Macaca mulatta: one gene and its partners. The protein of the gene in region 1 purifies or fractionates together with the protein of each later gene. This does not show direct contact. Links are inferred from orthologs where the notes say so. Each region holds a gene or a part of one and is shown on either strand. Other genes may lie near its edges. The genes, in order: AURKA, WDR62 and CALCOCO1.

Region 1 (3,720 bases):
AGCCATTTTTGGCTCCCCTACACCACTATTCTATCCGGTCTCTTCACTTCTGAGCACATGTCGGGTGTACAAATATATATATACACACACACATTTGTGTGTATATATGTATACATGTATGTGTGTATATATATATATGTGTATATATATATTTTATGGTGGCCCAGTCCTAACTTCTCAACTCCCACAGAACGTTCACTCGCCAGGTAAACAGAAGCCTAATTATCCCCAATTTGCAGGTGAGCACACGGAGACACGAGGACAAGAACCCGATCCAGGACCGGTTACATCGCAGTTGGAAAGGCTAGAACACAGACGCCCCCTCACTATATGCGCCGCGACCATCTGGATGCAGAGGCGAACTAAGGACTGGGTGGGAATGGAAGCGAGGCCCTTTGAGGAAGAGGAGGGGGTGCAGGCCAAGCCGGGCAACTTAGGAAGCACAAAGTAGAGGCGCATGCCATCTTGCTAACTCTGGACTCTTCCGGTCTCGCCCCAGTTGTTTCTGTGGTTTTCGCTAAACGCCCCAGCCGACCGCACCAGCCACTCTCCCCGTGCCCCAGTACCAGCTGGTCCGGTTCTCTCGGTATCCCGCTCTCTCCTGGAAAAATGGAGGCGCGAATCCTGCCCAATCGACCGCTCCGAGCGCACATTCACTGCGCACGCTGAAAGGGCGCCAAGCCGACCGCTGCGCTATCGATCGGTCGCACTCTCGCTTGCTTTTCTCGCCATCTTACTTACTGGCACGTTCAAAAGGTTAGTTCACCCCCTCGGACTTTATCTCCAATGCGACAAGCTTGACGTCAAGGGGCTGCTGCCTCACCGATAAATGGCCGACCCCGGAGAGTACCCTGGGGCTGGCACTGCCACGGGTCTGGCTGGCCGTTGGCTCCGCCACTTCCGGGGTCTCAAGGAGCAAGTGCGCCTGCGCGCGGTGTGCGCCTTAAACGCGACTCAAGGCGTCGGGTTTGTTGTCAACCAATCACAAGGCAGCCTCGCTCGAGTGCAGGCCAATCGGCTTTCTGGCTAGAGGGTTTAACTCCTATTTAAAAAGAAGAACCTTTGAATTCTAACGGCTGAGCTCTTGGAAGACTCGGGTCTTTGGGTCGCAGGTGGGAGCCGACGGGTGGGTAGACCGTGGGGGATATCTCAGTGGCGACGAGGGCGGCGGGGACAAGGGGCGGCCGGCCGGAGTGGCGGAGCGTCAAGTCCCCTCTCGGTTCCTCCGTCCCTGGGTGTCCTTGGCGCTACCCTGTGCCCGCCCAGTGCCTTTGCATCCGCTCTTGGGCACCGAGGCGCCCTGTAAGACACTGCTTGTTACTTATTACAGCTAGAGGTAGAAGGGGTTTGTTGAGTGGTGTTGACACGCGCGGGAGGGGTGGGTGAGCGTCAGATTGGATTTTGTTCTCGGAGATCACCTGGGTAAGAAAAGCACAGAAGGTCGCTGCTGTGTTGGAGTTCACGTTCTAGTGGGTAGGGAGTCAGACGGTAAGCGTACAGAGAACTTGCAACTGGGGTGGGTGTTATAAGGGAAAAGCAGGAGTGCGGTTTAACGGGGGCCGCTTTAGACAGAATAGCCTAGGAAGGCCCTTGTCCTGGCTGGATGAGTGGGTGAATTGATGAATGAGAACCTCCTTGCAGAGGCCTTCCCGGTCCGTACTTCTCAGACCGTAGACCTTGAAGTAGTTATATCGGGATAACTTGGAGAGCCTTGTTAAAAATATAGCTCCACCGAGAGCCCGGAAAATCAGAATCTCTGAGGGATAGGACCCAGGTGTCTAGTTATTAGCAAACTCTCCAGATGATTCTTTGATTTCATTGAGAACTAGGGATGCAGACCGGTGCATGCAAATCGTCTGGGGATGTTAAAATGCAGAATCTGTTTTCCTAGACCTGGGGTTGGGCCTCAGAGTCTCCATTTCTAAGATCCCTCCGGCTGAGGTAGACGTAGCCACTGTCGTTAACTCGTAATGTCTCTTCCTCTTCCTTAACCTTCCTTGTCCCTTGAATTAAACGTTTTTCAGCAACCTACTCAATTCGTCCTTCCCTTCATCTCTGCAGACATGCACAGGTCTGAAGGAGGAAGGAACAAACCCGTATAAACCTCCTGTGCTATTAGCCTAACAGCTTTTCTATTCACAGTGGTAGGATTTCTGGTGTGAACTGAATAGATCCTGTGAAAGTCATCTGGTTGCAGATTAGAGTCACCTGAAGGGCAGTCTTATTGGCGTTGTCTCCAGAATTCTGGATTAGAATCTTATTCCATTCTGCTTGTTACTCAATTTCCCTAGAAAGAAAAGTAGAATAAATTGGAGCAAATGCCTGTAGCTTCTGTCAGAAGAATGTTAAATAAATGTTGTTAGGCCTCTGTGATCTCATTAGACTGCTACTTGTAATTGTAAGGGAAGTAAAGCATTAGAGCATGTGTGAAATTAAATGATTACACAAGTGGGCATTTCCTTGCTGCTGTTTATTAACTTTTTAACTTACCCACTGTTTTTTCATAAGGGCTCCCGCCTGTAGTCTGGGCCTAGCTTCATCATGGAGTTATTTGCTTAATTGTAAAATGGCAATTTTAATTTTTTTTTGAGACAGGGTCTCACTCCGTTGCCCAGGCTGGAGTGTGGGGACATTTGATAAGAAACTTCAGTGAAGGCTGCGCATGGTGGCTCATGCCTGTAATCCCAGCATTTTGGGAGTCCGAGACGGGTGGATCACCTGAGGTGGGGAGTTCCAGACCAGCCCAACCAACATGGAGAAACCCCGTCTCTACTAAAAATACAAAATTAGCTGGGCGTGGTGGCATATGCCCGTAATCCCAGCTACTCCGGAGGCTGAGGCAGGAGAATTGCTTGAACCCGGGAGGTGGAGGTTGTGGGTGAGCCGAGATTGTGCCACTGCACTCCAGCCTGGGCAACAAGAGCAAAACTCCATCTCAAAAAAAAGAGAAACCTCTGTGAAATGAAAGACTGAACTACACACCTGGGGGAAAAGCCTAATAAAGGGAGCAAGAAGTGCAAATGCCTATGGCAGGGGACTTGTTTGAGGAAAGAAAGAAGCCTTGTGTGGCTGGTGCACAATCGAGAAGAAGAGATGAAGTCAGAGAGGCAGTTAGGGTCCATGTTCTGTGAGACTTCAATAGGCCTGTCTATGCAGGTTAGGAGTTTGCATTGTTTTGATTGAGTTGGGGAGCCATGGGGGTCTTCTGAACCAAGGACCAACACATCTGACTTGTTAATGAGATTGTTGGCCTCAGTGTTGAGAATGGACCATAACGGGGTAAGGTTGGAAGTCGGGAGGCCATTGGGAGGCCGTTGCAAAAAATTCAAAGGAGAATTACGGTTTGACCAGGTGGTAGTAGTAGAGGTTCTGAGCAGTGATCTTGAAGGCAGAGCCTACAGAATATGCTCGTGGATTAGATGAGGGGTTTGAGAGAGAGAGAAACCTCTTAAAGGGTTATTATGCCAAGGCTTTTGGCCTGAGCAACTGGCAGGATGGATTTGCCATCAACTGGGATGAGGATATCTAGAGACTAGATTTGGGGAGGTGAGAGTGTGGAGGGATTAGGACTTCTGTTTGGGACATGTTAAAATGGAGATGCCTCTCAGATAATCAGGTGCAGATGTTGCGTAGAAAGTAGAAAATGTAGATCAGGAGTTCAGAGGAGAGGTCTGGGCTGAAGAATGAATATTTGGGAGTCCTCAGCCTGTAGATGGTATT
Region 2 (3,648 bases), on another chromosome or scaffold:
ATGGGTTATCCTGTGAAGGGCTCAGGGCAGGGCCCAGAGCAGGAGCACCATCCGTGACAGCCATAGGTTGTGTTGTCCTTACATCCCAGCCATGACTGTCCCCAATACCATGTGTGGGCTGCAGAGCTTAGACCCTTGGGAGAGCTCTGGAACATACTCTCCTGGGGGGACCATTCCAAGCCTCTGTCCCCTCCTCTGTGGTGAGGAATGAGCAGGTTGCCCCACATAAGTTTCCCCATACAGCAGCTCCCTGGAGGGTCCCAGGAAGACAGACTTGGAGTGGGGACGAGCAGGGAGGCCCAGGCAGTCCAGTGGAATGAGTGCTGGCACGAGCTTTGCACTTATTCTTCCAGAAAGACATCGTAGTGGCCTCCAACAAGGTATCTTGTAGAGTCATCGCCCTCTCCTTCTCAGAGGACAGCAGCTATTTTGTCACTGTTGGGAACCGACATGTGAGGTTCTGGTTCTTGGAAGTCTCCACTGAGACAAAGGTGAGTTTCTGTCCCTGGCCCTTTAACCAGGCCCTGAGGGAGTCACCATCTGTGGCAGCATGGCCTCCTGTTTCTCCCTGGGATTTGAGGGCAGCGGTCTCGGGCCATTTGACCTCTCAGGGGCCCAGCTGCTGCTTCTGGGCCTACTCTCAGGGGGCTGATGCACAGGCCCTGCCAGGAACCCCCTGACCCTGGGACCAGCTCTCATTCTTGGACTGCTGCTTCCAGCCCCCCTGTCCAGAGTGGCAGGGTTCTAGTGTTTTCTTTCCTTCTCCTCCATTTGGAAGAGCTTCTTGGAGTTCTCCTGTTTCGTTGTGTCCTATCATCTGGTCATGCAGGACCCATCGTGGCCCTGTTGGGGGCTCAGCTGTGTGGACAGTATCTCACTATGCCCTCTGTGTCTCCAGGTGACGAGCACAGTGCCCCTTGTAGGGCGCTCAGGCATCCTGGGCGAGCTACACAACAATATCTTCTGTGGTGTGGCCTGCGGTCGGGGCCGGATGGCAGGCAGTACCTTCTGTGTGTCCTACTCGGGCCTCCTCTGCCAGTTCAATGAGAAGAGGGTGCTGGAGAAGTGGATCAACCTGAAGGTACCACCTCCCTCTCTGCCATCAGTTGGACAGGCTCTTTCTCATGATATGTGTCTGCAGGGGTGTTCATTAGTATTGACCACACAGGTTCTGCTTATGTGACTAATGGTGAATGACACCCCCTCTCTGAGCTTTAGGTTCCACATCTGTAAAATGGGAGTACTGCTGCCCTCCCCACAGAGCTGATAAAGAAGTCACGTGAGATAATATAGGCAGTGAGCACCGTGCTTGGTAACCTGAAATGGGCTCAAGGTGACAGTTTTTTTCCCATTACTATTTGATCTACTTCACATTTCTCTTCTCCTTTGAGCACTCTGGCTGGTAGAGGATTGCATTTTTAAAAACTCAGAGGTATCATTGATTTAATAACTTTTCAATCAAAAAAGACTACACAAAATGCATGAACTTTTATTTATTTTTAATTTTTTTTTTTTGAGATGGAGTCTTACTCTATTGCCCAGGCTGGAGTGCAGTGGTGTAGTCTCGGCTTACTGCAAGTTCCGCCTCCCAGGTTCAAGCGATTCTCCTGCCTCAGCCTCCCAAGTAGCTGGGATTACAGGCGCCTGCCACAACGCACAGCTAATTTTTGTATTTTTAGTAGAGACAGGGTTTTACCATGTTGACCAGGCTGGTCTCAAACTCCTGACCTTTAGTGATCCACCGGTATTGGCCTCCCACTGTGCCCTGCCATAAACTTTTAAACTAAAGCATGATCTATCGATACATTGCAGAGCTTCTTTCCTTTAGTATCTGAAAGTTTGTGTCCAAGCTATTTTCCCATCTGGAATCAGTTGCCCATTTGGCTATCAGCCAGAGCGTTGTGGTTTTCTCTCCTGTTCCTTGCTTGCCTTTGTAACTCACTCCAGAGATCACCTTTGAGGTTAATGGCGTGTGAAAGAGTTCCAAGTTTTATATTTGTCCTAGTTGGTTAAACATCATTTTCTCTTTTTCAAGCAAGTGAAAAGCTTTCAATAGATAGATGTTTAGTTCCTAAACACTAAATGACTCATAAATTAAGTCCCTCTAGATTTGGAAAAACTCCTTAAACTGCGTCTAGAGGTCTAGCACTTCCTAGTAGGATAGACAGTCCTTTCTAGATACTATAACTTTTTTCTTTTTTCTTTTTTTTTTTTTTTGAGACGGAGTCTCGCTCTGTCGCCCAGGCTGGAGGGCAGTGGCCGGATCTCAGCTCACTGCAAGCTCCGCCTCCCGGGTTCACGCCATTCTCCGGCCTCAGCCTCCCGAGTAGCTGGGACTACAGGCGCCCGCCACCTCGCCCGGCTAGTTTTTTGTATTTCTTAGTAGAGACGGAGTTTCACCGTGTTAGCCAGGATGGTCTCAATCTCCTGACCTCGTGATCCACCCGTCTCGGGCTCCCAAAGTGCTGGGATTACAGGCTTGAGCCACCGCGCCCGGCCTTATAACTTTTTTCTGTACTGCTTTGGAGTATAGTCATTATGAAGTTGTTTGTAAGCAAAAGGGAATAAAATTTAAGCCTAAAGGCCAGGCGCAGTGGGTCATGTCTGTAATCCCAGCACTTTGGGAGACCGAGGTGGGTGGATCACCTGAAGTCAGGAGTTCAAGACCAGCCTGACCAACATGGTGAAATCCCATCTCAAAATACAAAAAAATTAGCCGGATGTGGTGGCAGGTGCCTGTAATCCCAGCTACTCTGGAGGCTGAGGCAAGAGAATCGCTTGAACCCGGGAGGTGAAAGTTGCAGTGAGCCAAGATCGCACCGTTGTACTCCAGCCTGGGCAACGACCAAAAAAAAAAACTCCATCTCAAAAAAAAAAAAATTTAAGCTTAACATTCAACCCTGTTACTACAAGTGACTTACCTGAAATTGCAGTCTGCTGAACAGGTATTCTTCATACATAGCTACGTTTCTCTGTAGACGGCAGTGACATCTCTGTCTCCGTTCATGTCTCTGTCTACCTGGGGACACATGTATTTCAATAGCAGCAGTATACTATACCTTGATTTCAGAAATCTTAAAATATGCTAAAATGGGTGTCTTAGACCCAAGGAACTATAAGTCTTCTCTGGAGGCCTAAGGCTGCTCTGTCAGTCCCCATGTCCCTGGGCCAGGCCACGTGAAGCACCAAATCCACTGGGGTCCCTTTTGCCCCTACAGGTCTCCCTGTCTTCCTGCCTCTGTGTCAGCCAGGAGCTCATCTTCTGTGGCTGCACAGATGGGATAGTCCGCATCTTCCAGGCCCACAGCCTGCACTACCTCGCCAACCTGCCCAAGCCACACTACCTTGGGGTAGATGTGGCACAGGGCCTGGAGCCCAGGTACTGCCCTGCAGGGAGAGGGAACGGAACGGTCGGGGCCCACCCAGAGTCTCTCCACTGACATTCATCCATGCTTCCAGATCCATATATCTGTCCATCCCACAAATACTCATCATGACTCTCAGCCCTGGGTGTTACAAAGCAGAAAAGTCCTTGCCTTCCAAGGCAAGCTTCACAGTGAGAAGTGAGGCTGGGTAGGGGAAGAAACAGTCAGTGAGAAAACAAAGGAATAAACAGTATCATCTCAGATAGCGGTCAGCATGGTGAAG
Region 3 (3,648 bases), on another chromosome or scaffold:
AGCAGATAGAAAATCATGGGATTATTGCAGAATCAGTGACTTAGAGACAGAAGGAACATCAGAGGACGTCTAGTCCCATGTCCTACCCAAAGAAGGAAAAACCAGGGAGTAAGGAAGATGGAAAGGTAGCATTATGTGGTGAGAAAGGAAGGAGAGGGATAGGCAGAAAGGAGAGAGAAGAGTACCCTAGGAAAAGAAATGGCCTGTGGGAGGTGGAGAAGAGAAGAAACAGTATATGGAATACTGAGCAAGGGGCTGGAGCCAAGGACAGTGGATCATTTGGGGTCCTGGGTCCATTCTTCTTCCCACAGCCAGCTACCTGCCCAAACCAGGAGCTCAGCTCTACCAGTTCCGATATGTGAACCGCCAGGGCCGGGTGTGTGGGCAGAGCCCCCCTTTCCAGTTCCGAGAGCCAAGGCCCATGGATGAACTGGTGACCCTGGAGGAGGCTGATGGGGGCTCTGACATCCTGCTGGTTGTCCCCAAGGCAACTGTGTTACAGGTGAGAAAAGAGCAACAGAGTTATTCTCAGGCAAGGGAGTGGGAGACAGCATTGCAAGAGGGCCCTTCCCACCTTACCCTCCCCTCATCTGTGGCCTCAACTAAAGACCTCACTGAAAGTTAGACAAGGTCCTGCCTTCAGGAAAATCTCAGTCTAACATAGACATACATGAACATGTAAGGCAGGAAAGGAGACCACCCACAGGCCAGTGTAACTCAGGATTTCATAAGAACTTTTGCAGCCTTCCTTCTCTACGCGCTACATACTGCCTTATGCCCTAGAGGAAGATCTAAAGGGTGGAGGGAGGCTACTCGAGGGAACATTCAGAGAAAAGGGAGCACAAGACCTGCTTCCAGGACGAGTGGGGAGTGAGAGCAGATAGGCAAGGCCCCAGATCTGTACTGTCCGATACTAAAGGCTCTTAACTATATATGGCTCTTGAGCACTTCAGATGCAATTAATCCAATCTGAGATGTACTATAAGGGTAAAATATACTCCAGATTTTGAAGACTTAGTATTTTTTAAAGAGAATGTAAAAGACTTCAATAATTTTTATTTTGACTACACGTTGAAATGATACTGTTTGGGGTTTGTTTGTTTGTTTGTTTGTTTGTTTGTTTTTCTTTTTTTTTTTTTTTTTGAGACAGCCTTGCTCTGTCACCTAGGAAGATGTTTATATCTCACATAAGTGAAAGATGTGTGATGAGCTCCTACTCTCTATTGTGTTTTCACCATTATGATTCTCATTTGAGCCCTACAACAATTCAGACTAAGGGATCATGTTACAGATGAGGACATGTTTCTTAACTTAGAGAAGTTAAGAAACTTGTTCAAAATCACATAGCCAGCTGGGTGTAGTGGCATGTGCCTATAGTCCCAGCTACTGGGGAGACACTGTGGTGGAAGGATTGCTTGAGGCCAGGAGTTTGAGGTACTGTATGCTGTGGTTGCACCTATGGCTAGCCACTGTACTCCAGCCTGGGCAGCATAGTGAGACCCTGTCTTTAAAAAAATCACATAGCTAGTAAAAATTGCATTGAAGATTTGAACCCAAGTCTGTCCAACTCCAGAGCAGATAGGGTAAAATTAAGGGAGCCATCCCTTGTGTTTGTGTTCATTGACATGCCACACAAGGGATTCCTGCAATTGCTGGGTGAGGAAAGGGCCAGGCCTAGGGTGGGGAAAGGTAAGAGGGATGGGCAATTCAGAGTGCCGTGAGCTGGTGCATCTGACTGGGTGGTGGACAGGATTCGGTAGCACACCTAGCATCCCCTTCCTCACCTCTTTATAGCCCAAAGCTATATAACTTCCCAACCCCAGAATGCACCTGGAGTGTGGTAAGGATGGAACCTTAGAAGGGGTACTCCACCAGCACACTCCCCTTCTCCTTCTGCCGCCTGTAGAACCAGCTCGATGAGAGCCAGCAAGAACGGAATGACCTGATGCAGCTGAAGCTGCAGCTGGAGGGACAGGTGACAGAGCTGAGGAGCCGAGTGCAGGAGCTCGAGAGGGCTCTGGCAACTGCCAGGCAGGAACACGCGGAGCTGATGGAACAGTATAAGGTGGGAGCTGGGCCAGGTAGGGGGTAGGGTCTGGCTGCTCATCCAGCGTGCAAAATCTAAACCCACTGAAGAGAGTGAAGGAGAGATGTTAGTGGGCTTTTATGATGGTTCTGACATCAAGAAAATAGGTTTAAGGGGTAATGGTTGGGATTAAACTTGATATGACAAGAGACGTGTTCCAAACTTGTAATGAGACTCAGTTATTTGAACATAGGAATGCTGAGGTAAGGTGGAGGTGGCCACGTTGATAGGTAAAGGAATGTTCCAGCAGTTTCTTTTTCAAGGAAGGCAATGTGATAGCCAGGTGGGAGCAGTCAGACCCTGGTGTGCTCTTCCTAAGCCTTTGTTCCACTACTTGAGAGATGAATCCCAACCTCCCTTTTCTTCTGGGGGAAACTTAATTTCAGGGGATTTCCCGGTCCCATGGGGAGATCACAGAAGAGAGGGACATCCTGAGCCGGCAACAGGGAGACCATGTGGCACGCATCCTGGAGCTGGAGGATGACATTCAGACCATCAGTGAGAAAGTGCTGACGAAGGAAGTGGAGCTCGACAGGTGAGGGGAGTCCACTGACCCCGTCACTTCCTCTCCTTTCCATGACCCCCACGCTCCAGCCCCCTCTCTCAGGCGGGCAGACCTGCTGTCTGCCTCACATGCTTTCTCTTTCCCTCCTACCCTCACTCATGCTAGTCCAATTACTGGGGATACCCTTTTCTGCCGAGCTCTCTACCATCTTTCCGCACGCTATTCTGTATTCCTTTGCTTTGGAAATAATCATAGTTACCACTTATCGTGCAGCAAAAGCTGAGCAAGAGCTAGGAGTGGAGGATTTGGAAGAAGAGAATGGATGAAAGTCAGTGCAAGATAAGAGAGGATGGATTTCAGATTTGGCAGCAGGAAAGATAAGATTGGACTGTGTTCTTACTATTAAGAAACATTAGAACTGGTGATCCAGGAATGTTATGGAATCTCTCCTCTGGAAAAAAAGATACAAATCATAGACTCTTAGCATTGGGAATGTAAGATATGTATGAGGGTATGTAAGAGGTCACCCTCAGGAGGCAGCCTCTTTAACATTTGACAGCTGTCATTTTTGTATCTCTTGTATTGAGCCAAACTCTACTCTCCTATAACTTAGCATGGGGTCCCGAGACCTCTGGAGCCACATAAAATAAATTTCTTTCTGCTTCCAGAAAGTTGTTTCCTCTACCAAGTAGCATAAATATTGACCACCACCTCCCATGTCTCCCTTCAAATTTTCACCGGTTTAAATACTCTAGTTCCTTATTTCATTAAATGACATAATTATATTCCATTTAGTACTGGTAGATGGGATATTTTAAAAAACTGTTTAAGGCCGGGCGCGGTGGCTCAAGCCTGTAATCCCAGCACTTTGGGAGGCTGAGATGGGTGGATCACGAGGTCAGGAGATCGAGACCATCCTGGCTAACACGGTGAAACCCCGTCTCTACTAAAAAATACAAAAAAAAAAAAAAAAAACTAGCCAGGCGAGGTGGCGGGCGCCTGTAGTCCCAGCTACTCGGGAGGCTGAGGCAGGAGAATGGCGTAATCCCGGGAGGCG

Evidence for each region.
Region 2: the proteins of AURKA (region 1) and WDR62 purify together in Homo sapiens (affinity purification with mass spectrometry; 3 studies listed by BioGRID and IntAct, counting the BioPlex papers as one, with this or other methods). This does not show direct contact. The link is inferred for Macaca mulatta from reciprocal best matches to the Homo sapiens genes AURKA and WDR62.
Region 3: the proteins of AURKA (region 1) and CALCOCO1 purify together in Homo sapiens (affinity purification with mass spectrometry; 3 studies listed by BioGRID and IntAct, counting the BioPlex papers as one, with this or other methods). This does not show direct contact. The link is inferred for Macaca mulatta from reciprocal best matches to the Homo sapiens genes AURKA and CALCOCO1.

Annotation. Positions count from the first base shown.
Region 1 is NC_133415.1:109,159,241-109,162,960, reverse strand, and holds the start of AURKA (aurora kinase A), read left to right. Parts: upstream 1-897; 5' UTR 898-1,112; exon of another isoform or gene 1,113-1,488; intron 1,489-3,720. UniProt on the Homo sapiens protein: Mitotic serine/threonine kinase that contributes to the regulation of cell cycle progression.
Region 2 is NC_133424.1:47,326,068-47,329,715, forward strand, and holds part of WDR62 (WD repeat-containing protein 62), read left to right. Parts: intron 1-353; coding exon 354-491; intron 492-898; coding exon 899-1,081; intron 1,082-3,218; coding exon 3,219-3,379; intron 3,380-3,648. UniProt on the Homo sapiens protein: Required for cerebral cortical development. Plays a role in neuronal proliferation and migration.
Region 3 is NC_133416.1:60,892,627-60,896,274, reverse strand, and holds part of CALCOCO1 (calcium-binding and coiled-coil domain-containing protein 1), read left to right. Parts: intron 1-311; coding exon 312-502; intron 503-1,906; coding exon 1,907-2,065; intron 2,066-2,472; coding exon 2,473-2,621; intron 2,622-3,648. UniProt on the Homo sapiens protein: Functions as a coactivator for aryl hydrocarbon and nuclear receptors (NR). Recruited to promoters through its contact with the N-terminal basic helix-loop-helix-Per-Arnt-Sim (PAS) domain of transcription factors or coactivators, such as NCOA2.